Linked DNA regions of Caenorhabditis elegans. The protein of the gene in region 2 purifies or fractionates together with the protein of the main gene of each other region. This does not show direct contact. Each region holds a gene or a part of one and is shown on either strand. Other genes may lie near its edges. The genes, in order: far-6 and lec-5.

What was found.
Region 1: the proteins of lec-5 (region 2) and far-6 fractionate together in Caenorhabditis elegans (co-fractionation; one large-scale study listed by BioGRID). This does not show direct contact.

The regions. Positions count from the first base shown.
Region 1 is NC_003282.8:13,326,489-13,343,148, reverse strand, and holds far-6 (Fatty-acid and retinol-binding protein 1), read right to left. Parts: upstream 14,791-16,660; 5' UTR 14,789-14,790; coding exon 14,278-14,788; intron 14,230-14,277; coding exon 14,186-14,229; 3' UTR 13,835-14,185; downstream 1-13,834. Other genes in the region: glr-9 (Solute-binding protein family 3/N-terminal domain-containing protein), read right to left, coding at 27-119, 166-291; pqn-74 (Chitin-binding type-2 domain-containing protein), read left to right, coding at 11,776-11,818, 11,901-12,057, 12,116-12,218, 12,271-12,742, 12,792-13,165, 13,322-13,366.
Region 2 is NC_003280.10:5,834,169-5,851,289, reverse strand, and holds lec-5 (Galectin), read left to right. Parts: upstream 1-10,186; 5' UTR 10,187-10,187; coding exon 10,188-10,301; intron 10,302-10,355; coding exon 10,356-10,521; intron 10,522-10,778; coding exon 10,779-10,975; intron 10,976-11,021; coding exon 11,022-11,160; intron 11,161-11,205; coding exon 11,206-11,425; intron 11,426-11,471; coding exon 11,472-11,580; 3' UTR 11,581-11,651; downstream 11,652-17,121. Other genes in the region: H41C03.2 (Fungal lipase-type domain-containing protein), read left to right, coding at 85-480, 668-928; H41C03.3 (uncharacterized protein), read right to left, coding at 1,075-1,167, 1,213-1,332, 1,376-1,502, 1,553-1,671, 1,721-1,863, 1,909-2,169, 2,470-2,776, 2,829-2,897 and 2 more; ZK1248.17 (MSP domain-containing protein), read left to right, coding at 5,749-6,036; nep-25 (Peptidase M13 C-terminal domain-containing protein), read right to left, coding at 6,715-6,924, 6,971-7,144, 7,363-7,542, 7,588-7,650, 7,697-7,856, 8,047-8,324, 8,368-8,530, 8,629-8,696 and 2 more; ZK1248.19 (Beta-catenin-interacting ICAT domain-containing protein), read left to right, coding at 11,964-12,049, 12,100-12,334, 12,379-12,576; ZK1248.15 (WW domain-containing protein), read left to right, coding at 12,747-12,995, 13,045-13,182, 13,234-13,381, 13,430-13,678, 13,728-14,125, 14,169-14,402; Transmembrane GTPase fzo-1, read left to right, coding at 15,090-15,162, 15,209-15,334, 15,386-15,603, 15,655-16,762, 16,812-16,923, 16,969-17,121.

The DNA.
Region 1 (16,660 bases), on a different chromosome or scaffold from region 2:
GTTACGTCTCGACCGGGTGAAATTACCTGCAATGTTCCCCAATCGAGTCCTCCAACAATAGTCGGTGTAACCACAGGTATTATTTCCCATTTCAAAGAGTCCGTTATCATTTTGAGAACCTAAAAAATGGATTTCCTCTACTGTAGGCATGTAGGAATTTCTTACCTCCATGGTCCATCCGGGAAACGGACATTGTAAAATGACATCAAGAGTCGGGAATAATGGACAATTTGCAAAAGCATCTGGCGGATTTCGAGCAAGAACGACACGGAGTTGTCGTCGAGTAGACATTTCATCCAATTGAATGAAAAGTGCATATTATCTGGAATTTAAAACTTTTTGTTTGCTTTGTATTCTTTTTGAAAAAAGGAAACGTTTTATTTTGTTTGAACAAGCTGAAATGGATAATTGGGTTAACATTGAAAGGGGATACTTTTTTTGGATTCTGGTTTTTTTAAATTTAACTTTGAAAAAAACGAAAATGAAAAAAAGTTTCGGGTAGAATAGAAATAGTAAATGCATTAACAATTTCTAAATGCACCATTCAACCACCGAGGCCATTGTATTCAATCACACCTTCTTATTTTCCCAAGTCTATTGTTAAGAGTAAGCCTTCCGTGAGGGTAGAAAAAAAGTAGGGCACGTTGATATCCTTTTTTACCCTTTACCCGAACAGGGTATTTTAGGGAGGGTAAAAACTCACCCTCATGGAAGGCTTAGTTAAGAGAAATGCACCACAAAAAAGTTGTTGATTAAATAACAAAATATTTCATTTTGCATCCAAAGCATTTATTTCATATTCATGTAAACACAGTTCACTTCGGATGTGGCCTTGCAGAAGATGCTGGTGGCGGAGTCATTGGATGCTGAGGCACAGGAGGCTGGGACACAGGAGGCTGGGACACAGGAGGCTGGGACACAGGAGGCTGGGACACGGGTGGAGTCGTCGGCGATTTAATTGTATACGATTTTGCAGTGTGAGGTGGCGGTGACGGTTTCTCAAGGTTGGTGGCGATTCCAGACGGAAGCTTCAGAGCCCCTCTATCTTTTCGAAGCACTGAGACCACTTTCCGTTGAGTACCGTGCCCCTTCCGTTCGACAGATGCTTGACGTCCTCCATCTCGAGATTTTTTTCGGGTCACGGTGGCGGTGGATCTGCGAATGGTCAGCGTCTTCCGCTCCTCGGATTTTTTCTGAAATGAGATAGATGTCATTAAGAAGTTGTGTGCTCTCGCTTCTCATTTTAGAGGAAAACTCAAAAAATAGAAAAATCAACTTTTAATACTCACCAATTCCAATTTGTGGCCGTCTGGATGGTCGTACTGGTCAATCACAATTTTGAGACGACGCTTGGCATTTTGAAAGTTCGCACGACATATGGTATTCTTATCACAGCACATCTCCACCAAATCGGCAAGCTCCTTGGGTTCTTTGTTTTCAATTCGATGAGGATGTGGAGACTCTATGATGTATTTCTTGCATTCTTCAAGAGTTCTCGGAGCAAGTGGATCGGCAGCACATCTTGTCAGAATCTCTGTGAGGACGACTCCAAACGACCACACATCCGTCTTCTCATTGAAAATTCCTTTTTGAAACGTTTCCGGTGCAAGCCATCGAGTTGGAGCCTTGCCCAATTTTTTTACGATTACTTCAGTTGCTTGCACAGCGAGTCCAAAGTCGGAAATTTTGACTTGAAGTGTTGGTCTGCTGATCAAGCAGTTACGTGCCGCCAAGTCTCTATGGATCACTTTTTTGATAACCAAGTGGCGCATTCCGTTGGCAATGTCAAGGGCGAAGGCGATCAACTGACGATTTGGGATTGAAGGAGTCGACTGGAGATATTTCTGAAATATAAAGGTAAAAATGAGGCATGTAGGTAAGTAGGCAGGCACAGGTATAGTTGGTAAGAGTAACAAACCTTCAAATCTCCTCCGGTAATCAGCTCCATAACCAGCATAATCGGTTGCTCCAACGATGCAATTCCATAGAGCTTCACGACATTGTCATGCTTCAAAGTTCCCATTATCTGAGCCTCGTGACAAAATTCTTGCATCTGATCTCTTTGAGCCGTCCCAAGTGCCCGTTTCACTGCTACTTCAACACCATTTGTGTGACCACGTGGAATATATCTCGCCTTCAGAACCTCGCCGAATGCTCCATTACCCAATATGTTTTCGAGGTGAATACAATTGTGTTGAAGAACTAATTGTCGACGTGGAACTGGAACAATGGAGTTGACAACAAGAGACCAGGCATCGAGAAGATGATGAATGTGTTGGAAGCGCTTTGGAGTGATTTTTGGAAACTTTGCCAGTAGCTGAAATGATTGGAAGTTGGTCTTTTTAATGAGTAATAGTTATAGTTTCTATCACCCTTCCCATTATGATCTACTTACCTTTGCACAACTCCATCCATCCTTATTCGAATTTAAAGTTAAATGACAGATCTTTCCATCAATCTTGACAGAAAGACACAAAACCTTTTTCGAGTTGCGTTGCATGGCACGACGAACGAGATAAGCATGATCCCACTTCAAAAGTTTTTCAACTGTTTGTCCGAACATCATTCCATGGTACCAGGGACCGTTTCGTTATTTCCAGCCACTTGACTTCCTCCAATACTAAGAGTTTCTGATAGTTGATCACTTGACATTTGATGTTCATTACTATTTACACCAAATTGTAGGTCCTGTGACGACTGAAAATTATATATAAAGTAAAAAATTGAAATACTCTCAGAATGAAGTTTGGCGGGAAATTCAAATTTTCTCACAAACATTTTGATTTTGCGGTGGAGCGTGTGTTCTATAGGAGCCACGTGGCTGCGACAAGAGAAAACTCGGCCACACGCAAATTTTACGTCTAAACTGTTTTCCGGTGGCTACCACGGCTTAAAAATTATAGCGTTCTATGGCCACGTGGCAACAACATCACAATTTGCTCATTTACAAGATTCGAGTTCGAAGATTCGAAAATTTTGACAAATTCCAGAGACAAATAGAAAACTCGGCCAACCAATTTTTTCTCAAGTAAACGTGGAAAAAACCTAGAAATTTCATCGTTTTACACAATTCGACGATTACCAAAATCAGAATTTTTTCCACGTGGCAAGAAAGTAGCGAGATTTTTTCATGGCCGCAAAATACGACAAACTCTGCCACGAGAATTTTTCTGGAAGACACGTGGAATAAACTTAAATTTCCAGCGATTTTCCACTCGGCCAAAATGCAGCAAAAACGGGTTTCATTCTACATGGCCGAGAGAAAAGAAAACGGCCACCGATGTTTTTTCTCAAGCTTGAGCTAGCTCAAGAACAGGCGGAAGAAAGCGAATTTTTAGCAATTTCTAAACATTCACACTCACCTCCTTCTTCCTTAAGGCTGATCCGTAGATTCTCGGATTGGTGGAATCATTTCGTTTGGCCATATTTGTTACGATGTAATAACTTGATTGCCACGATTTGTGATTGTAAACGAAAATTGATAGTAATGAATGTTTTTCACACTGACTGTCGAAAAACAAGTGTTTTTGTTTTGTTTTGTTTTTATGTATATTTTTTTAGAAAGGACTCGGTCACGCAATTAAATATTGAAAAAATTGAATTTAGTAATTTATTTTATTTAAATAAAAAAGTACATTATTGGTTTTTTTATCCAAAAACTCAATTTTTCGCCAAAATACCAAAAAACACAAAAAAGTCACCTCACCTCACCTGCACCCTTGATCTCTCTCATCCGAATTACCAAAAACCTACAGAAATTTCTCATTCCGTATCTTTCGTGTTCTGATCTTCAATATTGAACTTTATGTTTCCGCATTCCTTCTTCCCAAAAAAATTAATGGGTTAGTGACTAATGATAGTCTGGGTGTGGTTGATATGTGTTCTTCGATGTTCAAAACCAGATAATCTGAGTACACTTTGGAGAGCAAGTACAACAGGAGCATCGACATTCCAGCAATTGCATGCGTGTTTCGGAGAGCCAAGTGTGTGCTCCTCCAGCTGCAAAAAAAGCGAACACCCTTATGCCGAGGACAGTTCATAAGTGCATCTTTCTTTTCGTTTTTTTCAAAAAATGAAACCAGCCCGCAATCAAGAAAGTCATCATTTTTTCAACTGATTAGTTACGTTGATTTTGACTTTTGAAATCCACAAATATTATAGCTAATCTCCATTCCCTTCATCAATTTCACGCAAGTCAATCGGAGCAGGTTGCGCCGGTAAAATTGAGCAAATAAAAGTGATACATATATCGAAATTTGTTTGCACTGGATAGTAGTACCTGCCAAAAATGGAAGAGTAACTGGTACATTGGTTGTCTGAGAAATGAGAAAAAAGAACACTTGTGGATTACTGGTTGCAAGCCTTTTGAAACGCAGCTTTTTTATGAATAATCAGTCAAAGTTTTGGTAAAGATCTTGGCTTAAATTTTTTTTTCAAAGTTAGAAAACTCATTAAAAATTTAGAAAATTTTTTAAACTTTTTAACAGTTATATTCGGTATATTGGAACTGTATTCTGCCATTTAGGATGAAAAACCCACAGACGCTAATCTATCTTTAAATATATTCCATTTTGAATTTATCTAGTCATGATTTTACCACCACGTTGAAAGAATTCCACAACAATAACTATTCAACGCTTGAAATTCCCCACAAAATATAGAAAATGTGTCATAAATCCTATTCAAGTCGTTAGTTACAGTGCAAAACGAAGCAGATTCACAATTTGGCACATCATAACCCGCTTATCATTTCGAAAGATGATTAGTCGCGTCTCGGAAAGATGCTAGCGACAGGAAGATGCGCGGGGCAAAAAAACGAGCGAGCCGTGAAACGTCCGGTGGCAAATTGGGGGGAGAAGGATTACATGTTGCCATGTAAACATGTGACAAGACCTGTTTTCTGATTTAAAAATACAAAGAACAAAACGATCAGTGTATGTTGGAGTACAACGGTACCTATAATTATTTTGGTAACGCAAATTTTATAGTTTTCCATATGAATTCTAGTCACTAGAGCTTCATAGTTTTTCAGCTTTAGGTGAGAACAGTGACGTCACTCGTGGTCTAGAAATCCAGAAAAAAAAATTATTTGAAGTCAGAGATCATCTTCTTTGTTTAATATTAATTTCAGCCCATAAGCTTTGAGTTTTACCGACTTCAACTTCCACTGAGAACTAGATACATAAGTAAATGGCCTAAAATTTTTTTTCAGTATTTTACCACACCCCAAATACCCCAAATGGTATGAAAATGATCCTTCACAACTTTTTGGAGACAATTTTCGAGAAAGTGCACAATGTGCACTGCCCATCTGGTAGCCGAGTTTTTTTTCGCGGCCACGTGGCGTTGGCCCTGTCTCTACTTTTGTAGAAATAGTGTCCTTCAGAAGTTGGGTTACTGTAGTTGTGAAGTGAAATGTTTACTCAAACCCAGAAAAAAAATAAAGTACTTAAATCTCACTCACTTAGCCGCCAAAAAATCGGTGGCCGAGTTTTCTTCTTCTCCCGGCCATGTAGCAGTGGCCTAGATAAAAAACTCGGCCATTCTCAAAAATTTAATACTGATAATTTCTTCTGAACTATATAAAGTTTTGGACAAGTATTAAAATGTTCTGAATTGGAAAAACTCCGATTTTTTCCCACAGATCTTCCCTGAACTTCTAGACAAACATATTACCTTGCACCTGAAAACCTTCCAAGAAAACTGGTTCAGAAATATTCCAAAAATGGCGATCCAATAAAGAACAGCCCCCCCCCCCCCCCAAACCATCAAACAAATTGTCGGAATTTATTGGCAACACACCCGCACGGGGAGGTTGAGTAAACTTTACGAGCAGATCACAGATTGAATTGTGTGCAATTGCAACAATTATTAACCTGAAATTTTATATATACAGGAAGTGCAAAAAGGTCAACCAATGTTTTGCGAAAAGCGATCAGAAAAGTGGAGTCTCGTGTGAAGAAAAAAACTGGATTTTTTGGCACAGTGTTTATCAATATTTATCAATGCACAATACACGGAGAGCATGAACTATGATGAGCTAAATTTGAAATCTACAAAGATTTTCTGTAGTTTCTCAATTTTCTTCAGAAACTTTCAGTTATTTTTGCACCTAAAACAAGGAGGACGAAGAAATTCTGATAAAACAGCCAAGATTTGTGCGGGGCCATTTTGAAGAATTTTTGTATTTTGTTTAACAAGTATTTTTTGTTCAGGTTTCTCAACTCCGTTTTTCTTGTGGGTTTCCAATTAAATTCTAAAATGTTTTATCGTATTATAATTTTCCACTATATTCTCCCAAATATCACCGAGTAGAGCTACTTTCGAATCTATCTTTTATGTTTAAAGGTGGAGTAGCGTCTGTGGGTTTTTGCCCTAAATGACAGAATAGAGTCCCAATATACTGAATATAACTGTTGAGAACTTTAAAAAAATTTTCTAAATTTTTTATGATTTTTTCAAAAATAAAAAGGGCCAAATATTTTTGAATTCACGTGCAACTGATTGATGTCAGTTTTGACATTTTTGTCTTTTACGGCCAAACAAATTGGTTTTTCTTTATTTTTCTTTGTTTTATAGATACAGTCAATTTTTTAGACACGAAAATTATGGTTAATTATGAAATAACGATTTTTAGGCCAATTTTAGAGTTTCGGGAAGTTTCTTCGCAAGTTTTCTTCACAGAAAAATGTTTTTAAAAAATTAGCAAATTATGTTTCAAATTACAAAGCAAAGAAATAAAAATATATATATTAAAAAACGCGACTAATCATCGTAAAACGCAAAAATGTCGAAAATGACGACACTCATTTGTGTGGGAATTCAAATTCAATTTTTGCAAAATTAAAAAAAATCATAAAAAATTTAGAAAAATTTTATAAATTTTTTAACAGTTATATTCGGTATATTTGGAATGTATTCTGTCATTTAAGGCAAAAAACAACCCCAGATGCTACTCCATCTTTAAAACTTTATGTGTCTTGGCATAACATCAATTTTCGGTTTTTTTTTCAGAGCTTTTTTCGAATCCCAAATTCCTCAGATTGCTACACTAATTCCCAGAGTTTCAGGTCAGAGAGTAAACACCAGTGAAATCATCGACAGACCACCGAGGTGACTCATCATATTTCAAGCTGGTTTTTTGTTTCTATGGAACAGTGGCAACAGCAAAAAAGAACAATACAAATCAGAGCATATCAATTTCTTTTTTCATTGAATATCCCCCATCTTACTTTTCCGCGTTCGTTTTGCTCAATTTCTCGGATGAAGCACACGAAAAGAGAGCAAGAGGAGGCATGAACAATGCGTATTGTTTCTCAAGTACCGTCTCTTTTTGCCCTCCCCGGATGAGATTTCTTGAGCCGTGTGGTGTTGAGGGAAGTGGGGACAACTCTTACCCCATCCAATGCTTTACCTCGAAATACTTTATGGCTTCTCACTCCATCCACTTTTTGCTCTTCCGATCTATTGTACATGGGGCAAGGCAAATGAAAGGAAGTGCGAGAAAACACACATTTAGCAAACAAAAACACAGCTGACAAGAGAAAGAGCACCCCCGGGCGGGGAGGTTTCCGAACGCAGTTATTGTTTTTGGGCCACACGTCTTGACTCTATGTGTTTTGGGTTTTTTGTGCTCCTGAATTCAATAGAACATCTCCGGAAACCCTTTGCTTTGCGGAAGGCCTATTGTGTTTCAAGATGCACTTTTTCCTTCGAAAAATAGAGACTAAAAGGTTTCACTTAGGTTTACGATTTGGGTCAGGTTTAGTCTTAGGCTTATGTTTAGGCTTAGGTTTAAGCTTAATCTTAGGTTTTGGCTTGGGCTTAAGCTTGGACTTATGCTTAAGCGTAGGCTTAGGGTTAGGCTTAGTGTTAGGCTTAGGTTCAGGCTTAGGCTTAGGCTAAGGCTTAGGGATAGGTTTAGGCTCAGGCTTGGGCTTAGGGTCAATGATCAGAAAAGTGACAATTGTTAGACATTTGAAAAACCTCTTCCATTTTAGTGTGATGCCTGCATCATTCAGAAGTGACGTCATTTTTGTAAAACTGAAAGTTGTCAGATATTCCAGAAGAAGCCATTGCACGCCAATATGTCTGGTTGCCGATTGCTGATCTTAAGGGAGTTGCAACCTGGGTTGAAAAAGTCGATTATCGCCGTCGCTAGGTTTAAATTGACTGTTTTTTAATATTCGGTTTCCGATCGCTGTTTATCGATTTCCAATTATCAATTTTTAAAAGCCAATGACCGCTATCGCTGGCTGCTGATTTTAATTTTAATTTTTAAATTGTAAATAATCAATTAACAGTAAAGAATTTCGATTTTTTCTGATGTGGCAGCGAAACGAAAAACTCCGCCACCAAATTTTTTCGGTGCGACCCCTTTAACAAAATGCGAAGGACATCGCACCCTTCTCCTTTGATTTTGATTTTAACTTGGATATCCCGGAAAGAGAGTGTGAGAAACACACTGGCACAACGGTTTCTTCACGGATGCTATTGTGTTTCAAGCTGCACTTTTTTCTTGCTCGCTTTCAAACACGGGTGACGCCGATCGTCTTGTGTTTGAGACCCCATGTGTTTGGTGTCTCTCTCTCTCTCTCTCTCTCTGTACCTTTTGCTCCCATTCTCTCACTCCTATATTTGGGCATTTTGTGCCGACGAACAATAAGACAACTCTACAAGCAGCTGACATGTGTGCACTCAAACTGATTACAGTTCTCTAGAGGGGGTACTAGAACGAGAGAGTTCGGAGAGGGTGTCAAAAATAGAACTATTGAATTGATTTTTCATTCTGGTTGAGTAGTGGCGTGGGAAAGTGTGAAGCATGAGACAATAGAACACCACTTTTTCATTGAACATTTGGCCGATGGAAATGACCATGTGGTTTATGTTCGCCTAGGCATTTTTGTATACACTTTGGTCGTGGTTTCAGCCGTAAAAAGTCAAAAATAAATTGGTGGCCGGTGTTTCAATTTTCTAGGCCACGTATTGGAAATCTGGGGTGCTTATTTTCCCCCGATATTTTTCATTTAAATTTTTTGATACATTATTTATATAAAACTATATGTTTTATTTGAAAATAAGTTTTATTTGACTTGCAAAAACCGAGAAAGTTATCAAAAATTGTCCGAATGTTGAAAATTGCCGTCAATTTTTCGGCAATTTTCACCGCCAATTTTCAACATTCGGACTATTTTTGAACACTTTCTCGGTTGTTCCAAGTCAAATGAAAATTATTTTCAAACAAAGCAAATATTTTTCTATATGTATCATTAAACTTTAATGAAACATAACAGGGGAACATGCCCAACCGTCTCATTTTGTAGAATTGCCGGTCGGCAATCGCCGCGCAATCCTGGTGGAAACTGAGGGAACAGGCCGGCTTCTACTCCATGACCGCTAACAAATAAAACCTCGGCCACCGATTTTTTTCTCGAAAATTTAAATTATTTCCAAAATAAATTTTCACACTTTCTATTCAAAATGATTAATCGGTTAATCTAAAAAATTTCAGTTAAAAAAAAAAATTTCGCAAAAGTTTTAACGGAGTTTCTGACCGTCATGGCAATTTTCAACAAAAAAATTGGTGGCCGAGTTTTAGTGATCTGAAATTTCATTTTGGGTTACAGTTTCCATGAGCCAATTTAAGAGAAACTTACCCAACACGGCCACATTTTAAAATTAATCTTGACCAAGCTGGAAAAATTTGGTCAAGAAGCCGGCGCCAAACTAATTTAATTCAGCTCAAAGATTGCTCAACGTGAGTCTAAAGACAATGATCTGAACACAGAGAGGATACTACCTGTGTCAGATAATCTTGTTCACAGATAAATGAGTGCCAATGCATGGTGCATCGAGAGATAAAGAAAAAGAGATGGCACTTGACGGAGCCGCCGCCGCGAGCACATGGATGACCGAGTTGTGCCGCGCGGGCGCGCGGATCTCTCTCTCCAAGATATCATTTTCGTTGTTCTCTTCTCACAATCCAACAGGAGCAACAAGCAACATACATACCCCCATACACAAACGGACCCGTTAGACTGTTGAAAAACCAACGAATAGAGTCACTCAACACACATTGTTCGCCTCCCCCCTCCTCACTTGCTCAACTGATGCTTCTTATTGCTCCCAACGGACGATTGGAAGGGCAAACTGGAATAAGATGATGCGCAGGAGAAGCACATGCGGACGAGACGCGGCGTCAACGAGCTCGCGCCCTCCCTCCTTCCTCCCCTCACCAACCTTTTTTTCAATTCTTCACTAATTGTTAGACAGGAGGGGTGGATATATGAAGTGCATATTATACGTACATCGGATACACACTGAGAACTAGGCGACGGGGGGGGGGGGGTGTTCTTCGGAGACCAGAGATTACGGGAAACCGATCCGTGTCTGGAACTTTGGGGGCACGAAAGAAACTTGAGAGAACAGGCTCTAATTGTAGAGCACATGCATGTCATACAGCGAACATGTTTGAAGTTTTGAATACAATTGATATACAAGTTAAATAAGCAGCGGACATCAATCCAGGTTCGCTATTGAAACGTGTGCCAGATTTTCACAAAGTTCGCCTAATTTGAGCACAATGTAAACGAACATCCGAAAAGTTCTCAATGTGCACTGACTAGGTCTGAACATCGAAAAATCGAGTTTTTACGCATTTTTTTCAATTGCCGGAAAATTTCAGTTTTGCAAAAAATATTTCAAGATTTTTTTCCTGAAAAAAATCAAAAAAAATCTGAAAGAATAGCGTTACGTCTCCATGGGTTTCCGAGACGAACAAAATTTTTTTCTATATGAGCGTGCGCTACAGTAACCCGCTCTTTTTTTTGGGGGATTTTTCAAAAACGTTTTTCTACAGAATAATATTTTGAAGAAAAAATGGGCAGTACTTCTTACTGTACTTCTGTACTTCTTAACGGCGCAGATACTTTTTGCGCGACCTCAATTTGAAAATATTAAGTTCGCTTTGAGAGTAGATCCTGTAAAAATTAAGCGTACTGTAGATTTTTTAAACATTTTAAAATCGCTTTTATAATCATCAGAAACAACAATTATCCATTTTTACGAGCGAAAATTGGCAATTTTAGACGATTCAAAAATTTTTGCAATATTTCATTTAAATTCCCAAATAATTTTTATGAATTGTGAAGTGATTTTGTACCGTAACCTTTTGTTTCCAGCTATCAAAAATGATGCAAATCAGAGAGAAAAGCTCAAGTAGAACGACACAAATAAACTTGAGTCAACAAGAACCAAAAGATGAAATATCTAGCGTCTAGAAGCTTCTTTTCCCATAACCTTCGGCCTTGCTTGACGCCGCAAAGCCAAAAAAGAGACTTGTAGTAGTGTAAGAGAACCAACTACTTAAACGGTTTCTGCGAAAGCATGCTCGAGTACACTACTGTCTGTAGTAAGTTGCCAATTTGCACGGACACACGGGTTTTGTTTGTTTACTCTGACAAACACAGTTTTTGATTTTCAAAAAATATGAACATAGAAAGCAAGAGAGAAGAGAGGGGGTATCAATTCCTATTGTAATCTTGTTAATCTATTTACAAGTATTCGCGGTGAGAAGTGGGTCGACGGGTGCGCGTGCGCTCCTCTCTCCGCATGCCATTCCACTGATGAGTTCCGGATTAGGGCGGGCTGAGAGAACCGCCTACTTCGGAGAGGGCGCGGGAGCCCTCCCCAGGTGTGCTCCAGAGCCAAATCGTATAAAAGCGCGACGAGTTTGCCGATTGAGCATCACACTAGCTTCTTCTCACTCATACACACATGGCGCGCTTCCTCCTCATTATCGGATGCGCTACTCTCGCAGGTTTATCACTTTTTTCTGATTTTTTAACAATTTTAACATTTTGTTTCATTCTTCCTTGATAACCTTTTCCATTTTCTTATAGCTCTCGCATCTTGCGAATCCAAGAGTGGTGAGGAAACTCCACAATACTGGAGAGCCATTCTTGGTGATATCTGCCAATTGCCATCGTTCCCTAGAGCCACTGGTGATCCAACCCGTTATGTTGAATGTGTTCGTCAATCCTCATTTGCTGCCGATAGGTAAGCCATTTTGATACTGAATACCTTTTTACCTTCATCCGCCTTCTCACATTTCCAGAAAAGATCTCGGAATCTGGCTTCTTCGTGAATGCCTCCCAGGATACGAGTTTGTTGCCTCCGCTCGCCGTTGTAAGACTGTCCGTTCTGTCAACAAACAACAAGTAATCCTTTACCTTTCACTCTTCAACCTTTTGTTTATCTTCTTGTTTATAGGAACTTTGCGAGTCTGCCAATGCCACCGAGTACAACTTCTGCCCAACTGCCTCGGCCATGCAATTCCTCGTTGAGGAGACCCGTGAGGCTCCAAGACAGTGCGCCTGTCCAAATGGAGAGCAAAACTGTGTCTGCCCATCGCCGGAAATCCTCGAGCCAATCTCTGCTGTCAAGAAGGTCCGCAGATCTGCCCAGCAACAGCCATTGAGATTCTCCCAATACCCATCATGCCCATGCCCACAGAACCAACCAGCCTGCACATGCTCTACCAACAATCAGCAGAATGAGCAGATCCTTGTCTCCATCTCCTGCTGCCAACAACAAGAGACCACCACCCAGGCTCCAGTTCAGATGCAACCATGCCAGTGCACCCCAACCCAAATTCAACAGAACTGCCAAACCACAACCACCCAGCAACAATACTGCCCACAACAATCTGCTCCAGTTGTCCAGCCACAGCCATGCCCACTCGGTAAGATCTTATGGTTCTAGAATCTACAATCTAAACCTTTCTATTTCAGTCCAAGGATCCGGAGTTCAAAACGCTCAATACCAAGGAATCTGCTCATGGATGATCGACCCACTTGCCACTGACCCACAATCCCGCACTCACTACCTTCAATGCCAGCCAGCTCCAAACAACTTGTTCTGCGGAAGATGGCAACGTATGCCATGTGCCCCAGGAACCGTCTTCGACGTCCAATCCCAAGTCTGCGTCTGGGACACCAACAGCCAGCCAGGAACTCTTCCAACTCCAGCCCCATACGTCTCCACCCAGGCTCCACAGAACGCTCAATGCGGATGCACCGGAGGAGTTCAAATCGGATCATGCAACCAAAACTACCAGTGCCCAGGACAATCGGTCTGCCAAGTCGGACAAAATGCCGGACAACAGGTAAGAGAGTAGTGTCTAGAAGCAAGAGATCGGCAACCAATTCAACCGGTTTCCGTTCTTGTGTGTGGCAATTGAGACGATTACAATAGGGACGGGGGTGTGTAAGAATGGGGAGGGAGGCTCGAATAGATCATAAGCAAACGAACACTCTTTCAGTGCATGGTTTGCTGCTACTTCCGCAAGAAGGCCCGTCGTTTCTAATCGATCGAACATCTCACACACATCATCATCGAACCAAAAACTGCTACAATCTTCTCGCCTTTTTGTATATACCGTGAAGAAAACAACAATCATGAAACGGATACGCATAGACAACCATAATTGTACCGCCTAGTTTGCCCTCACTTTTCCCCCGTCTTCCCCCAAATCCCCAATCCTTATTTGTATTCCGAATTGTCCAATGTCTAGGGTTTTCTCTCCAATGATAACTATTATATAACTTATGATGGTACTTCAATAAATATATATTTTCAATACTTTTCTGGTTTTTGTCTGATACCCCGGATTTGCAGTGATTTTAATGGTTTGTTCAAATATTTTAAACTCAAATACTTTGCTTATTGGAAAAATGTTTTCAACTAACAAAGTATTGACGAAAACTTTTTCTACACTTTGGATTTTTCAAAATTATACAACTCTGTTCCAGAAAAAAAGCTACAGCAGCTGACATCAGGCGGGTCGGTTTTTTTATTAGAATTTCCAAGTATCTAAACGCTTGGTGTTTTCATAAAACAAAGTTTAATAAGAAAATAATTTTCGCAGTTTTCTACTTTTTGCAATTTGTTTGTATTTCATATGAATCTCAAATTTCGAAATACATTTAATAAACATTTAAATTGTTATTGGTTTTTTAGTGGAGTACTTAAGCAATTATAGGAAGTGCAAATTGCAAAATGTAAAAAACTTTGTGGAGATAATTTTCTTAGTGTACCTTGTTTCATGAAAACACCTAATTTCAAAGGTACTTATTTTTAAATGACAACAAGCTTATTTTGGTAAAATAATTGAAAAAAAAACAATTTAGTAGTTCACGATCTGTTGGATGATGGCTTGAATTTTCTCGTCTGAAAATAACCGAATGTTTAATCTTATTTCAAATTTTAAAAACTCACGTTGAAAGAATTCAACGACGATGGGGAACTCATCGGTGATGGTGGCCTTGGCGTTTTCAGAAAGTGTTTTATATTCAGCAATGTATCCCTTGAAGAGTTTCTTTACCATCTCAGGAGTTGGCTGGTATCCGGCATGGAACTGTTGCCGGAAAGAAAGTCCCTGAGCGATGACTTTCCCGAATAAAGCCAGAGCGGCGGGGTCGAGTTTCGCGAGTTTTGTGCGGAGTAGGACGTCGAGTTTTTCAACCTTAGCGTACAGGGATGGGGACCGCTCCTTGATATCAGCACTCAATTCTTCAACAGATTTGTTTCCTCCCATAACACTTTTGATAAATTCCTTAATAGCAGCTTTCTCCTCAGTAGTGATGGATTTAAGGTATTCAGTAACTTTAGCTGGGATGAGTTCCTTGAACTCAGCTGGGATGTCGTCTAAGCTTTGTGGTAAGCGTGAAATTGGAGCAGAAAAGACAGCGACGGAGGCAAGTGCTATGACAAGGAAGATGCGGATCATTGCTATAACATTTTAAATTATATAGGTTGCCACTTTTAATTGAAATAGTCTGGATATCATAAAATCACGGAAAGCGAATAGAATATTGGCCGGCACTGTAGATGTGAAAATGCTTTCAGGCCATTTTTTTCACAAAGTCAACAGTTCAAAAAAAGACCCATAAAAGTTTTTTTTCATGTCTACTGTATGTTGTTTTATAATTTATATTTCTAAAAGAAAAATAGATGAGAAAAATGAGAAAAAAACGGCAGAACTTAAAGAAAAGAAAGCTCGGCGCCGCTTCTGCTGTGCAGCTCCTGCTCCGCCGGCCATGTTTTTATACGACCTTGGATGACCCATCGTTAACGAAATAGTGTACCGAACCGAGAGTTCCAATGAAATGTCACGTTCCCTTCGAGACACATGACTCACTTTCCCTGGATTTCTATTATTAAGAAAACTACTTTTAGTGTAATGAAGTTTAGGGTTTTCTTTTTGAACCTAAATCTGTGTGGTGCCAAAATGCAACAATATCATTGTAAAGCTTTTTAAAATTTGGTTGGAAAAAATTTTAATTGATAGTCAAAAAGTGGCAATTACTAAGTTTTTGCCACTTTTTGAGAAAACTATAGCGCATGTTTGAATCCCTACAATGAGCCCACAGAAACCGAGCTGTGACCTGTAAAACAGAATTACGGAGATTACCATGACTGACCTTAATAGTTGCATTTACAACAGTGCATCGGGTTTAAGCTGATCCAGTTTCTCATTTAGTACAAATACCTGAAAATATAGTCTCTGTGAAATATCTCCAATGACTTAAAATGTACCTAAATTAACAAAAAAAAACAAAAGAGAACCTCTTTTTCTTGAACTTCTTGAAAAAATGAGTTCGCAGTCATTTTCAGAATACTGGAACAAAACATTTTGATCGGTTTCGGAAATATGATTAGGCGAGTCTTGGCTAAAGAAATTCCGTCAATTCAAAATTGATTTATTTCTGAATCGTCCCGTCCCTACCAACTCTTTATCTGACTTTTTTCTAACTATTAGGCATTGTTTTAATGCATATCAATCAAATTTTTTATCTATCATTTTTTTTGGAATTCCGTTTGACATTATCAGTGTCAAATATTGCATGTTTTACGTGTCAAGTGGAAGGACTGATAATCGGTTTATTGGAACTTTGCTTTCAGTTCAATAAAGTGAAACTTTGAACTAAGGGCAAGAATTTGTAGTGTCAAAAAATCAGGAAAAAATATCTTGAATACGTGCGTGCCTACCACCATTTTTTGCAATTTCGAGTGAATTCAGATGCATTTTTTTTAGCAAAACCGAAAAATCGAAAAGTCGAAAAATTGGAGAACCGAAAAACGAAAATTTTCGATATTTCGATAGTTTCGAAAAACCGACAAACCGGCAGCCCTGGTGTAAATCAGGGGGTGATCGGCAATTGCCGTTCGGCAAATTCGGCAAATCGGTAAATTTGCAGTTTGCCGATTTGCCGGAAATTTTCAATTCTGGCAATTTCCCGGTTTGCCAATTTGCCGGAAATTTTCATTTACGGTAAATTGCCGATTCGCCGTTTGCCGGATATCAGATTTGCCGGAAATGTTTAGAGGGATTTTTTATAAGACGGAAACACTTAAAACTGTGTCTTTACGAATTTTTTCAGTATTTCTACATATTTTCAAAGAATTTGCTTACTTTTCAAAATAGATGTAGGAACATTCATAGGATGCGTGCAATTTTGCCATTTGAAATTGAAATTCTGAAATTTCCAAAAAAAAAAGTGCGAAACCACAATTTGACGAAAGTTTTCGGCAAATTGCTTTCTTTCGGCAAACTCGGCAAATCGGCAAATCAGAAATTTGCCGGTTTGTCGATTTGCCG
Region 2 (17,121 bases):
TTAAAAGATCAGAAATCTAGGTGTTGAGCACCATTCTTCTAGCCTAAAAAACTTAATAACGTTTTATTCATTATTAATGTTTAGAGAACAGTTGGAGTATTAATTGGTGTGAACCATGATCGACAACATATTTTTGTGGGTTTCCGATCTACAAACGATCCGTTCCAATTTGTTGCTCAATTCTACGTGTTCACAATGGGATGGATGAAAGATTTTCCACTGGGTGGGAGAATGGTTGCAATTTACGTTGAAATGTATAAAGATATTCTGGAATTTGGATTTGATGCTTCATTAGAGAAAGTAGTACAAGAGTATCCATCGTATTCAATGTTAATCACTGGGCATTCTCTTGGTGGAGCTATGGCTACTATATTCTCACTTCATGTTGCTCTCAAATATCCACAGAAGAAGACTAGTTTATATTCAATGTCTGCACCACGAAGCGGAGATGAAACATTTGTGAAACTTCTGAGAGAACATGTAAGCGATTTCAAAAAGTTTTTAAAGGGGAGTGAAAGTGTTTTGTTCTAGACGTCGGAACATTTTAAAAATAATTTTCTTTTTTGCCTGAATTCGGAAAAGGCATTCTGTACAGTTGTCTAGTACGGCCGCCTCCTCAAATCACCAAAAAGTACCTTTAATCGTTCCAAAAATTTGAAAATTCCAGGTTTTCGAGGAGTTTCGCGTTGTTCGAGACGGCGATTTTGTGCCCGACGCGCCGTTCCGTGTGTCACAAACAATCGAGACAGCTCATCATAATAGTTTTGAAATATTTTATGGAAGTCACATGGCTGTGGATAACTATAAAATATGTAATCAGCCTGAAACAGAATATTGTTTGAAAGGATCTTGGTGGAAGAAACCGGTGGCACACATGTATTTGTTTGATCAAACTTTTTATAATTATCATTTGGGTTATTGTGAATAAATATTTCCGTTTTCTAATTTTTGCCGATCTAAAATTGTTCAAGTTGCATTCATAATGATTTTTATAAATTTTCATTTTTTAAACCCGTAGAAAGCCCTTTTAAATCGTAACAAAAAATTAACTATCCATAAATCGGCCTAACACTATCATAATGGATATTCCCGTTCCGCCCATCTCGTATAACTCGGTTTACATTCCAATTTGTAATTTGGTTCCAGGTGATTCTTGTGGTAAAGAACCTAGAAATTGGTATATTTTTTAAGTTATAAATTCATTCAACTTACATTGACCATTTGTGCATAGTAATTTTCTTCCAGCGGATGATCTACTTGTCCAAGAAATGTTCGATTGTACAGTAGCTCGGCCGTGCATTCCACAATTGAGTAATCAAATGCTGGGATCATCTATATTGAAATTTAGGCACTTTGTATTTGGTAGATGGCTTACTTTGTTGAACATCAAATTGGGATATGCGGCAACTGTTCTCAAGTCCTCAATTCCCAGTAAGCAAATTGCATGTCGAACTGTTTTTGATCCACATTTGTGGGCACTTCCGTACATCCATTGTGACATTCTGCAATCCAATAACGTTAATATTTTCCAAAAAAAAAAAACCAATTTTACCTTGATACAAAATCAGTATTTCTTTTCTGTTTCAAACATTCATCCGTGAAATGTCCAGGCATTCCTAGATCAGCACTCACTTGAAAACTTTGAATAAACTGCTCATCTACGCCAGATGACTGAAAATTTAAAAATAAAAAGAAAGAGATTTGAAAAAATGTGTCTCACTCCTTCATTCCATTGGTTAATATAGGTTGAAAGATCAACTGTTCGAACCATCCAATCAACTGCCCCCCTTGACAATGAGCCTTGTACAGCTCCTTTTGCGAACTTCATGCTGGTGGTTAAAACATTTTTGTCGATTCCAGTTTCTTGAAATTTTTATTTTAACTCAATACAATCAATTTAGAACTCACCATTTCGAAACATTTTTAGAGAAACTGGGTCCCATTTGAACTTTTTATTATCTACACGTCCTGCTTCAGGTGTAATCTCGATGTCGTTTGCTCCACCAAGCCAATCATAAATCTGCTCTATTTCATATACGGATTTAACAATGACATCATGATTTTGAAGTAAAATGGCATAGTTCCAACCAGGTTTGTTAATTAGAACACGGAGGCAATTGTAATGTGCAAGATTGATGTTATGACCAGCTGAGTCCACTGATTCTTCATCTGAAATTTTATTTTTTAGATCTACGAGTGGGTTCTTCTAGATTAAGATAAGTATACGAACACCATATGAATTTACGTTTCATTTGTCATTTTTAGGCATTGTAGGTTTTTTTTAATTGAGTTCAAAAAAACAATTAAACATCAACGCAAAATTCCGTCTCCGCATTATAAAATTGTCAAACTTGATCCAAATATCTGAAGTCAAACAACTACATATTAAGAAACTTTGGAGGTTTTAAATCAACATTTTGATTGAAAAATGACATGTTTAAATTTTTTAAGCCATCGGCAATAATGTACCTGGAAGAAGCAAAACATTTGGAAGACACGCAGCCATTGCTCTGAGCCTTTCATGAAACTGTGACGGAGCTTTTTTGTCAATCGCGAAACAAAATGAATTTTGTGGATGATATGACATTTGAACTTGTTTCTCAATCATTTCATAATCTGTATAAACAATTCTCGCAAATGCAACACCATTTTTCAAAGGTTTCAAATCATTTCCCGATGGTAGAATTCGATTCATAATTGCCGAACATGACATATTGAGATTCTTATTTTCCACAATTTTTACTCGATCTTTTCCAGACACTGTTTGTAGGTAGACCTGTATGAATAAAAATTAGGTTTTAAAATTTTGAAATTTAAACAAAATATACCTTATCGTCAGCTAAGATTCGTCCACAATCGATATGATCCGTTTCTGGTCGTCGTGGATAAATTGCCTTCTGGAAATTCAATTAAAACTTATATCTGTCATTATATTTTTACATAAAAAATTTAAATAATATTCATACGCAGTTACGTAGCAACAAAAATGCATGCCTGTCTGATTTAAAATAAGATCTCTGCCTGACTTGTATATGTGGGCATATCTCGTTTTGTTAAATTTTTCTTGAATTTTGGAATTTTGGAATTTCGCAGAAAAACTTGATTGTATAATTGTTATTTCTTTTTTGATTTTTTTGTTTTACAACTAAATATTTGAACTTAAAATACAGTTATAGATAGAATTAAAACATTTTTCATGTTAAAAAAAACTCACGAATTCGGTTTTCAACTCCATTTTAACAAAATCTTTCTGCAGCTCGCTAATTATGGCATTTCTTTGATCAATCTCATTTCTCAAATCGTTTACCACTTGTTCATAAGTCATCGGATTTTGTTTATCAGTCGTCAAGGGATCTGGAAATGAAAAAAAATTTAAACTGTATAAAGTTTTTGATAATTTACCGTAAATTCCTTTTTTCGGATTGAAAATCCATAGATAATACGCAACGAAGCATACAGCAAGAAACAGTAAAATCCATATAAATTTAAATGTTTTTGGTGCTGCTGAAGGATCCAATAACTGGTAACGAATCTTGCTTCGCATCTGAAATTTTTTATAAAAAAGAGAAACATAGAAAACTGTTTAAATTTTGAAACCTTTATATTTTCTTGGAAGAAAAAACCTATACACAACGAGAAACGAGGAAAAGTTGCGGAGGAACAATTCAATCTTTTATTGTTGTTCTCTACCTCTCTGATATTGAAAACTGTCAATATAAACGGAGAAAAACCATGATATTTAGGCTTTTTCTCGAACAAAAATACAAATTTCAAAGTTTAGACTCGTTTTTCTCCGTTTTTATGCATTCCGAAAAATTCAGGGTCCATAAAGTTCTATGGAAACAAAACGAGGCATCCGTTTTTGGAAAGAAAATCGGGGAAAAACGTTTTTTCACAATTTTATGCAGATGGAAAATGAATTCATATAAAAGAAAATGAGTTGTCATGGAAACGGGACAACGGATTAGATTAGCACTATTATTATCAAAACGAGAGAATGGAGCAAGCAGGTGGAGATGGACAACAAAAGAGTTAAGTTTTCTCGCAATTGTGCCAGTTGGCAAGTTTTTTAAAGAGGAGTAGCTTATTTGTTTCCTTACTTTTTTGGATTAAAAAAAAAATTATTTCACACTTAATTCGCAATGTGCGAAAACTATTATTCGCATGCGCACATTACGATCAATTTTGTTTGCGTAAACTCTGCCAATCTTGTGAGGTACCTGTACACATCGTAAATTGACTGTGTTATTGGAAATTTTTCGAAAATGTTCTACAGGGGTTCTAAACTTCAAAGAAGTGGGGACAAATAAATGAACTAAAAACTGAAATTTGTGCAGCTTGTTTTTTCATATAGTATAGTACTTTTTCAGTCAATAAGTGCACAAATTTTTATATATTAACAGTTCATTTTCAGCCTCTGTGACACAGACAAATTTCAAACATCTGACTTGAGTTTCTAGCTGAATTTGGCCCATTCCGACAGCTGTCATGAACAATGTTTTGAGAAATTTTCGAGATGTATCTTTTTGACATTTGGACTTTTGGGACTATTGAGTCTATGATAGTAATAAAAAATAGTTACCTTTTTGCTCTCGTGGAAGGTAAAAGACTACAAATCCGTATAATACTTGGAAGCAAAAGTCCAAAAGGTTCAAATCTGAAAATCCAACAAATGGGGGCATTGACATTTCCAACTCTAACTGTTCTTGATAAAGAATATACAGGGGAAAAAGCTGGGAACAATGAACAACTTTTAGTATAAAACATAAAATACACTTTTTTGTTAAGAAAAGTAACGCCCTAAAAAGGAGTAAGCACTCAAACACATATATGGCAGGGAGTTGGCAAATATAACTTAGATATATCATGCTTTGTATCTGCGTCTCTACTATTTACAAACTATTTTTCACTCATTACTGATAACATTTTAAAAGAGAACAGTGGTGTGCAGACGTAGCTGCAAACTATTTAATAATGGAGGTGTTTTAGTTATAAATATTCATGTGTATTTTGTTGAAAAAGAAATATATTCCAAAAGTGATAAAATGTTATTTACATTTCTATGAGTAGTTCAAAGATATCTATAGTGTTTCTATTTTCTCTCAATTGCTAAAAAATTCTTCTTAAAACAAATTGGACCATTTCTCTGAGCTGCAGGGACTTTAAAAATTTAAGATAATTCTAAACGATCAGAATTTTTTGCCAACTTTGACCGAACATAAAACATTGTTGGATATTTTTAAATTAACATAGGTACCGTTTCTATTAGAATGTTTTAATATAGCGGGGCACTGTCGTCTTACTCTACTAAATGGTTAGATTACTGTAGAGAGATTAAAAATATTTCAAAGCCTTTTGAAACAAAAAAGTTGGATAATTTAGCTATTCAATGCAAAAATATAGTATACCTTCATTCTTCCGATTAACTTGACTTTTGCTCGATGTAGGCTGTGATAATATTTTTATACGATTCAGAAACTGTGCTCCTTTGTTCGCAGCTATACTTTTTGCAAGTAAATTTGAAAGAAACAGAACGTCTTTCTCTCCATTAAAACAACATAGCCTGTCGTTTTGTTTTCAAATCGTTATGTTCTGTGATATGTGTGATTTTCCTTTAAAAAAACATCAGATTTTATTCACAATTAAACTCAGTTTTCGAATCCAACAAATCATGGCCATATGCAACGAGATTCCCGCTTGCTTCAAAAAATCTGAAAAAAAAAGTAGTATTTACTATAACGCAGCGGAATGGGGTTCGGAGACATCCAGACCCAGCCGGGCACGTATTCAATGCACCATATGACGACAAGCACACGTATCACATCAAGGTTCCTAAAAAACAAGACCACCAACATGAAGAGACTTGGAGTTGATCCACCATGTGGAGTGCCCGAACCCAAGGAAGATGTACTGTTGGCAGTTTCATGTGATGCCTTCGCATTCGGACAAGACGACACCAACAACGACCGTATCACCGTCGAATGGACCAACACCCCGGATGGAGCTGCCAAGCAGTTCCGCCGTGAATGGTTTTAAGGAGACGGTATGGCTCGTCGCAAGAACCTCTCTATTGAGTACAACCCAAAGAACATAAATCTAACTTTCCCAACACTTCAATAACACTTTCAATAAAGTTTCATTGATAGATCGTTCTTTTTTTTTTGGATTGACCATATGTTCAGAAGTTGTGTTATCCAATCGAGAAAGAAAATCGAAACTCCTTCACTTTCATCTTTTGAAGTTTGAAAAAAAATATATTGAATCATCTTTTTTGATTCATCATAATCTTTAAAGTTCTTTAAAGATAAATTCATGTTTGCTTCGCCGGATAACCCCAGCGAAGCTTTTCCAAAAATTAAAGTTGTTTGACACTCTCTTTCGAAAGGTCAGAACTCCAGCGTACCTTGAGTAACTGGGTTAAAACCGACTAACACTGCGAGACATCTCCTCTTATACAAATGTGTGTACAGACATCTTTCGAGGCAAGCGAATAACTGTAAGAGAGTGCCTCCGACAGAGACGCCGACGGCTCGAAACTGGCTGTGTGTGGCCGAGTGGGGCAGGAGGGAGTGCAAGGCGCAATACACCAAGGGTTCGACCCCAATTCAGTGTTAGAGGGAAATAATAAATTTCACCATTTGTAAATAAAATTTTTAAAAAAAACTATAACTAAATTAGCAGTTTTATGGATATTTATGCGATGAAGAGAGTATGTTAATAATAATTTCCAGCATTCTTCTTTCTAGTCATCGGCGATCCTGATCCATACAACTCACAATGTTTGGCTCTGTTCGTTATCATTTTATCAGTTGGTTTACACTTAAATGCATCGGAGAACTGTTTCATTTGAGACATCAAGGAATTGACTCTCTGGTAGTTGTTTGAATGTGCAAGGTTTTGAAATGGAACTCTGGACATTCCATCCTGAAATTTCAATTTTTCATAAAGTTCAGACAGTCACAAGGAATACCTGATTGCAAAAGAAAACTGCAGCTCCGTAGAAGAATAATTGCTTTTTATCAAGGGCCTCATAGTTCGGAACAACCGTTTTTCTGGCATAGGAGTTTTCGTAAATTCTCCACGCAATTCGATACGCAGCTAAATCAGCAGCATCTTCTTCGAATGTTACTGTAGTATTACACGCCTGAAATTGAGTTTATAAGTGAATTTCGGTCAATCGGTTAATGTAGATTACTTGAAAATCTCCGATTTCCTGATAGGCCACAAAAAACTGAGAAAATCTCGAATTATTAAAAAGACTGACTTACAATTAGAATCACGATTTTCCAACTCTAATTTTTCTGTTTGAATTCCTCGCAGTTTTTATTTTGGAGGAAATTGAAAAAGGAAATTATCACTTACTGGTTTCATGTTATGCATTTCAGTTACAGTCGGAAACGTTTCACATGTTTTGAGTGCTTGATCCTTTACACAATCTGCATTTTTTGTCCAAAGTTTTGAAAGTGGCTTGTCTAGATCGTTATCGTCAAATACCAATGTGTGCATGATTTCATGGATCATTGAAAACCCGATGCTCCCGTACTGAAATTGAGAATGATTTCTTGTTGAAATTATGTGGGAAATTACCAAATCAGAAAAGTAGTCCGTATTCAGAAGAAGCAGGAACTCATTTCCAATGTAAACGCTATTCTGAAATAGTTTTAAAAAATATGAATTTTTGAAAATTGTTTCGTACATCAAACGAATTAAACATTTGCCACACGTCTTTCAGTATTCCTGCTTGGTCCTGTGGGAAAATGTCTTCGATGGGTTCATCCAGAAGTTCCTCCGCTTTTCTTGTAGCAACACCTTTGCAAACTAATTCTGCAGTTGGTTGAGAGAATGCAACGTCTAATCTAAAATTTAGGAAATGGGTAGTTTATGGAACATTTTTCCTAACTATAGATGGAACTAATTTTCAGCCAATTTTTGACACTTTGACATACATAAACGACACTTAAGCTCTAACAAACAGTAAGGAACCAAAATTGATATACATTGGGAAAGTTTCAAACGGAAAACATTCTTCTGCAATTCGAAACTCACTTTTTTCTACAATCTTTCTCAGTGCTCTCATAAAGCTCCATGCTTTTTTTCACAGTGATCCGAACATCAGCAAAAGTTCGAAAAGTGATATTGCTGAGCGCTTCAACATATTGCTCAATTGCTTTATAATTCTTCGCCCATGGAGTTTTTATTATTTCCTTTGAAATCACGCTTTTGAACTTATTGAATAGCTTTCTAGCTTTTACATCCAATTTTTCAACCAATTTACTTGTAATGAATCCATTCACAGCACTGACCAAAACACTACGGGTAGTTGTCTGAACCTTAAAATGTATATTCCTGATTTAAAGAAAGATATACATAATCTTCGATTTCTCCAACTTCTTTTATAATTATTGCTGCTTTTTCTTCACATGGATAATTTTCAAAGCCAGGGAATAATACTTCATCTACATTTTCAATTGTTCTATTATCCTGAGCGCTGATGAAAAACGACGAAAGGCGAGGTTTGCTGGGTTTGCATCTGCAAATCGAATTAGCTAAATTTTAGGTGCATTTGAAAATTCACAATTTTCGTTTTTTTCACAACATGAAAATATTATTTTCTCTATGAAAGCTCACTCCGATTTAAGTTGCTCAATGTTAAGTTGCTTCAGAGCTTCTGCTATTGCGAAGGCATCTTCCCCTTTCTGATGAAAAAAAATTAGCTTGCCCATTCAAAACACTTTAAAACTTACAAACTTATCAAATTTTGGATGCTTTTTTCTATATTTTGCTACCATCCCAGCTTTCAGCTTGCTCAGATCTTCCATGAAATATCTTTCAACTTTCCATGGACACACATGGGCATAGAAATCAACACACGGATCCACAGAGAAGTCAGCATGTCTGAAATTTGTTTTTAACTCAATAAAACTTTTAGATGTAATTCTCTATTACTTTTTAATATGCTCTTGAATGATATTCTTCGGTAGAGAGGCTTTTGATGTGCAAAAAAGAATAAAAACAGAAAATATGAAAAAGGGAAGAAGGGCCTTCATTTTAGGTGTCGAAACAAAAAATATGTGATGCACGGATACTTTTATAGTCGAAAATTCCCGCCTACAATAGCACAGTGAGGTGGCCGATTTCCCATATTGTTTGGAAAATTTCGAATAATTTGCATAACGTTTGTTTTATTGTCACTGAACATTTAAGGAAGCGAAAGAAGCTGAAGACAAATTCCAAAAATGAAAAGCAATAGTTTATTCAAACAAAACAAATTAAGGAATCAGAAACTCTCGAAAGGAAGCAAACCTTGTGCAAATGACAATGAGGAATCCACTCCGAAATAATGATTTTCCCATGTTGTACCTCGGAAATTTCGTTTTCAAACCATAATAAATCTCCGATTTGCCATTCATAGTTTCCAATACTTAAAAGCCATTTAAAAGTTCGATTTCAGACTAGTTTAGAAGTGAACAAAGGTTGGGCAAACTCTGAAAATATTTGGAAAATATAAAGCCTTATTCTCCCATTTCTTTGGATTTTTTTTGAACAGCAGGAACAGAAGGACCACCTGGAACGCGAACAGAGTGAAAACACTTTTACTGTATAGATGTTTGGTATTTTTGGTGAGATCTTCATAATGCTTCAAATAATGAACACATCACATTAAGGTTCTTCGACATTAGTACAATGTTTCAACATCCTCCAAGCTGTCCATGCGAACATCGTAAATCCATCAAACACCCCATGTGATGCTGCTCCCTTGGATACCTCTACACAATAAATATATTTTTCATTTTGAACTTTGAAATTTGTTGAGACTCTCATCTGCTTACTCATCCAGGAGACCAAAGTGTTTTTCACTATTTTAGTGTCCGTTTTCTGATCAAAGCTCAAACCTTCGCCCCCTCTGATATCTTCTCCGCATGGCCTCTGGTCGGAGCCTGAACATTCCAATGGAAAACAAGGAAAATGTGTTGGTGTAATATAATGAATCAATTGAAGAAAGGGGTGGAGATTCCCGAATCATCAACACATTTATCTTGCCAATTGTCCATGGCTCAAGAGTTTGAAGCAGCTTCTTCGAAAGTTTGCCATTTAGCTTCTATAGTGTCACGTAACATTCTCGCATGATTTTGAAGATGTTCTCTTTTAAAATTGTATTAAAAATCTTTCAATTTTATACTTGCAGAATGATAACAAGAACGATTGTCTGCTTATCTTTGGCAGCCTTGGTTTCATGCCAAGGAGATGCTTCTGATCCAAAGGAGACAAACTATAAGAAGTTCATCGGAGAACAAGAATACGTTAGTTATCTAGACACTGGCTAGAATCTGAAAATTATTGTTTCAAATTTTTAGAAGCTCCCATTCAAGACCCGTGTCAGTGAGCCACTTGCAGTTGGACAAACTATTCACGCCGTTGGAACTCTTTCTGAGAAGCCAACTCGTGTGGATTTTAACTTCCACAAAGGATCAGCTAAAGATGCTGATCTTCCACTTCATTTCTCTATTCGTTTTAATGAGGGTAAGTGTTTTAATGAGTAATTTCAAGATCCGGTATAGTATCGCAAAAAATTTGTACGACAGTACCCAAACTTGCAAGATCATGAATAAAGATAATGATAACCAATACTTACGCTTAAAAAGTAGCAATTCAAAAACAATTTCTATCATTAAAGAAACTGATGTCATAGTTGAATGTTTTCGTTTCCAGAACAACCGATCCATAAATTAAATTTAAAAAAATACTATAATATTTGAATTTCAAACAATAAATTTCAGGACTTCTCGGCAGCGGAAAGTTGATCTACAACACATTCGAAAACGGAAACTGGTCTGAAGATGAGCAGAGAATTAGCAATCCATTCAAAGCCGGACAAGAATTTGATTTGCGTGTTCGTATTCTTGAAGGAAAGTTCCAGGTCTTTGCTAACCGTCTTGAGGTTGGAGTCTTCACTCAACGACTTCCACTTGATGGAGTAAGTTTGATTTTAAAATTGTTTATCAAACAACTTCGAATTTAAGATTGATCACGTCTCAATCCGTGGAGATCTATCAAAACTTCGTCTTTTCCACTATGGAGGAAGAATCTTCCCTAACCCATATATGGCAGTTGCTGGTCTTACCCCAGGAAAGAGACTGGATATTTCTGCTCTTCCAAAAGGTACAAAAAATAAAATGTCCGTTTATTCACATGGAAAACTTTCAGGAAAGCGTGTCAATGTCAACTTGTACCGTGAAAACAAAGAGTATGCACTTCAAGTTTCCATCAGATACAATGAGGGAGCTGTTGTCAGAAACGCAATGACTAGCAATGTTTGGGGAAAAGAAGAGAGAGAAGGAAAAATGCCACTTGATAAGAAGCAAGTGTTCGATATCACCATCATCAACGAAGAGTACTCTTTCCAGATCTTCCTTAACAATGAAAGGTTTCAAATTCCTTAATTTTACTGATTTTAATCAATATTTTTGCAGATTCACCACATTCTCCCACCGTGGATCGCCAAGCGATATCAAGACTCTTGAAATTGATGGAGACGTTGAAATCCAGACTGTCACCATTAATGATGCTCCAGGAGTTTAAATTTTTGTTTTCTGAATATATTTTAAGTTTTTATATACTGTCCAGATCTAAATAAACATTCTAAGTTTCCTTATCCGTAGCAATGTTTTGTTGGCAGACTACAATAGCTCGATTTTCATGGAAAATGTTGCAGACTCTGTTTAGAATTAAAATTTCCTATTCAGAATTCGATGTATTCAACTTCAAATTGTCCGAATATAAAGGAATACTGCAAAACTTTTAAATACCAAACATTTTTAATCCAACTTTGAGGTTTTCCAAAAACATGCACTTTTGCGTCATGGTGTTTGCGTACACTCGATTTACGAAATGCATTTTACTTGACGCGCAGCATTTTTGTTTGTTGTTTTTTGCAAATTCCTCTTGCAATTAATTTTCTCGTCATGGGAGTAGACGATTTGCTTATTAAAAATGCTCAAAAAACTATTGATCGATTGATCCGGCAGTTAGCAGAAATAGAACAAGAAGAGTGAGTGAATTTTTTGTTTGTTTTTTACTTTCAAATGTTTCTTTGTTCAGGAATAATCTCGAAGAAGACGAATACAGGGAATTGCGTGAAGACACTGTAAATCAACTTCAGGAATATGGAAAAATAGTCGAACGCCTGCAAGGCGGAGATGTTTCTTTAATTGATGATCTCACGGCGACTAAAATTGCGATTCGAACAGCAATAAGTAAAGCCTTCAAAACACCTGAAATTATGGCTTTATTTGCTGGAAAACATACTGGTCTTTTACGAGAAAAATTGATGATGGTAACTAATCTCAATGATATTATCGTTTAAAATTTAATTTTCAGACAGAAACCAACTACCGATCTCAAAAAATGCCGAAGCAAGGGTATCTGGAAAGGAAATTTGAAATTTTGATGGCACTGAGACGCCTTGAAGAAACATTAACAGAAGATGAAAGGAAGTTTCTCAGTGATCGATTAGAAACACCAGAATTCCAATTAATTGAGGCAAATGCGAATCGTCTTTTCAGTGGAAATGTGTAATTTTTATTAAATTATGAATTTTTACTTGTATATAAACTATAATTTTTTTTTAATGTTTTTAATCAAAAATCGCTTGTTTTATATCGGTTTTAACCATGCTGCTCAATTTATCTTTGTTTCCCACGAATGATTTTATTCCTAGGACCTCACCAGTTTTCAGAGTACAAATAATGGCTTCTCCAAAAAAACCAAAAAAAGTTAGGTTAGATGATAAAACGGAAAATGTATCACCTCCATGGAAAGCCTGGTGGCACACGGAAAAGAAACGGAAGTTTTATACGAATGATAAGACAAAAGAAAGTTTATGGGATCATCCAAACACCCGAAAAAATGAGGAAAAATCTCCGGTTAAAGCGAAAACGAGAAAACGGAAAGATGTAGAGGAAAATATCCATGGGACCATGGATGATGATAAAATGGTAACTATTAATTATCAATTAACAGATTAATTTATTCATTAAAATTTAGGAAGTCGATGTGGTACCCCCGCCAAAGCGGAAGTCTATGGAGAAGTTGGATGATGAAGAGTTTTCATGGAAGAGGCCAAGAAGATCGGACAGTTCGGAGAGAATAACGAAAAAAGAAGACATTCCCAGCTGCAGTGGCGTTAGTGTTGATATAATTATTAAGCTCTTTTAAAATAAAAATCAGTTGCAGGTAGAATCTCATTCCAATAAAATGCTACCACGTGTTCCATGGTCTTCTGAAGTTCGACCATTCAAAGATTTGCATTATCGTGCGTGTGCCATATTCGATACCTGTGCTCTTCTGGGAAATCCTGATGTTCTCAATGCTTCCATCGAAAGTAAAATATAGAGAATGATATTATTATTGAAATTTCTATTATTTTCAGAACAAATTCTCACAGTCATTCCATATTTTACATTATCTGAGCTAGATGGTCTTAAAAACGGATCAGGACACACTCGAATTGTAGCTAATTGTGCAAATAATAGTATAAAAGATCTTCTGGAAGAGAAGAATCAGTACTTGCATGTCGAGACGAGCACAGAGCAACAGATTCAGATAAACGGCTTCAGTGCAAACACAACTGTTGTAGATGATTTGATTCTAAGAACTGCATTGCGAATAAAAAGAGAAAGTAAGTTTTTTTCTTAAATTAAGATTCGAGAATATACCACAATTTTCAGTAATGTCAATTCCATCTACAATGAACCTCAATGATCGTGCTATTATACTCGTCACCGAGGATGTGAATCTTTCAAACAAAGCACTGACTCATGATCTGCACGTTGAGACAGTTAAATCATTCATGGACACCATTCATGGTCGGAAGAAACAACAAACGGATTCGGATCAACTAAATAGTTCAAGGAAGTCTTCGAATTCTGATAGAAGACAAACTACTAGGAAAGAACATCATGCTAATTCTCATTCTAACAAATACACTAGCAACGACATAAAATACAAAAGGAACGAAGCTGTTAAAAGTGTAAAGAAACATCGCGAATTGGAAAGTTGGATCAACGACTTAGCCAAAAAAGATGCTGGTCGCAATGCTGGTTTTGTTAAAGAAAACAAAGTAGAGGTAACAAAAAATTATTATTTTGTAAATTAAAATATGTTTTCAGGCTCCCAGAAAATCTCGACCATCGATCCCACTAGCAGACGAGATCACTCTTCAACCGTCTTCCTCAAACTCGGAATCATTTAAACCAAGAAAGACATATCCCTCATCAACATATCAATCATCTCAAAATGGAAACGTAGTCAAGACGACCAAGCCAAATAGTAATCGCCCAAAAATTCCGTTAAGCCTTTCGGATGACGAATGTACCTTCAACGACAATATGGATTGTTCCTGAATATTGTTTCCTATTTATAATTATGATTTTTCTGCATTCCTGCATCCGGTCTCATTGCATGTACGGTGTACTTTAGTGAATTATTTAGTGAATAAATGTTTTTTATGTTTTTTTTTACTTCAAACTTAATAGAATACCGCTAAATCAATAGAAATGTTTCGATTGTTTTTGCTTTCTAAATATATAAATCCAAAAAGCAATCAGAAGTTTAAGAAGAGACACTGCAGAATTTCAAGAACGGGGGCTTGCTGATTAAAAAATTTGCAGCAAGCATTATTCACAAATTTTCTACAAACTGCTTTCATAAAGTTTATTTATATCTTTTAATGTTTAAAACGGCAATTTAAAGCACAGTAACTTTTCTTAATCAAAAATAGTTCGATAGACAACTAATTTTTCTCACAAATCGTTGTCTCCCGATAATCGATTCTTTTGTGTACAGAGAGCGCGCTCCAGTGAACATTCTTTTTTTGCTCGCGACGGAGACAGAAATGGAAATTCTCTGATAATTCGAGTGTTCCTTTTCATTTTTTTTTATTATTCCAATGAATAATTTGATGTTTGTATAACCTTTTCGATATTTCAAATAAGATTTAATGTTTTCTAGACTTTTAAGCGATTTCGTAATCCTCGAATCGAATTTCCGGCTGATTTATGAGACTTTAAATATATTTAAGTTTTCAGGTAATGTCTGGCACAGCAAGCTTAGTTCATACTCTGCCGGCCAGTGGTGATTCTAATCATCGTGGACTTCACAGCTGTATGTTTATTCAACCTTTCAAAAAACAATGCAATAAACTTTTCAGTGAAAAATTCGCGTCGTGCTGCCGATAATGAACCACTTCTTCGATTTCGAGAAGCTAAAAAGGTTCTTGGGGATGTCTATGGAGAACTGAAAGACAATGTGGCTGAACTAGAAGGTGTTTACAAAGGTATTTTCTGTTTTTTACTTCGCCGCAAATATAAACCCACAAAAGTTCCAGATATTAAAGAGAACGACTTTGTTAGTTCTGAACAGCGGGAAGAAATCGAAGCAATTGGCGATTCAATCAAAACTATAATGGACACATTTCAAAGAGATAACATGAAGGTTGTATTTTTCGGAAGAACCAGCAACGGAAAGAGTACAACTATCAATGCGATGCTTCATGAGAAAGTGTTGCCCCAGGGAATGGGACATACAACATGTTGCTTTCTGCAGGTGAGAATCACTTTTTTTTCATATTTTATTGTAAATTTTTGAAATTTCCAGGTTGAAGGTTCAGAAGGCGAAGTTGGCCATCTACAATTAGATGATAATCCCCAAAAGATTGATATGAAAATGCTTGGAAAAATTGGACACGCACTGAGTGACGAAAATTCAGATCTTCCGGCAATGGGACAGGATTCTCTTTTGAAAGTGTTTCATCCAAAGAAATCGGAATCAGGGGAATGCCGACTTCTTCAAAACGACGTCGTCATACTTGATAGCCCTGGTGTCGATCTTTCTCCAGAATTCGATAGCTGGATTGACAAACATTGTTTAGATGCAGATGTATTTGTGCTTGTATCAAATGCGGAATCAACATTGACACAAGCCGAAAAGAACTTCTTCCTTCGAGTCGCGAAGAAGCTTAGCAAGCCCAACGTATTTATTCTCAATAATCGATGGGACGCCAGTGCAGCAGAAACAGAAAACATCGAAGATGTAAAAAAGCAGCATTTGACGAGATTCCGTCAGTTTTTGGTCGATGAGCTTGAAGTGTGCTCAGAAAGAGAAGTCAATGATCGAATCTTCTTTGTTTCATCGAGAGAAGTTTTGGAATCACGATTAAAAGCTAGGGGACTGGTACAAAAAGCCTATCAAGCAGAAGGTCATGGCACAAGAGCCTTGGAATTCCAAAATTTCGAACGACATTTTGAGCATTGTATCTCTCGATCGGCGATTCACACGAAATTCGAAGCTCATAACAGGAGAGCTCATGAAATGATCGGAAAAATGCGGCTCAATCTGAATAGCGTGCTAACCTCTGCAGCTGAGCAGAGAAGCAAGCTTCAGAATAATCTAAACGAATCCACCAGGACTTTCAATGAATGCCGTGTAAACTTCACTCAATTTGAAAAAGCTTACCGTGAGCAGACAGAGCAACTGCGAGCCGAAGTTCATCTGAAAGTTTCTGCTGATTTCTTTGAAGAAATAGCACGACTTGATGCAATAATTGATCGATTTGAACAACCTTTCGATGGAAGCTCTTCCGGAATGACAAAGTATAAAGAGGATTTGGCAATCTTTGTGGACAAATGTTTGAGCAGTGATTTGGAAGCTAGATGTACCGGTGGCCTAATGTCAAGAATTTGGAATTTGGAGAATGATATGTTCCGTAAGTGTTTATCTGGGAACTGATGTGTTATAAAAAATTTTTTTTCCAGAATATGTGACAAAAATCCTCGCCGAACCTTATCAGAATAAGCTTGAAGAAGTGTGGCGATATCGTGCTCCTTTCAAATTTAGCATTTGTGTCGATGTCCCTGCTCTTGTCAAGTGAGTTTCGATGGATTTTTTGTGTTTCATTCTTACATTTTTCAGTGATTTCCATGAAGACCTCGAGTTCCGATTCACATTTGGTCTACACGCAATAATTCGTCGCATCATTGCGTATCGAAGCGGCCAACCTGTCACTGCAATCAACACCAATTTGCTTACTCCATTATCACTAAAACAACAATCCGAAAAGAATTC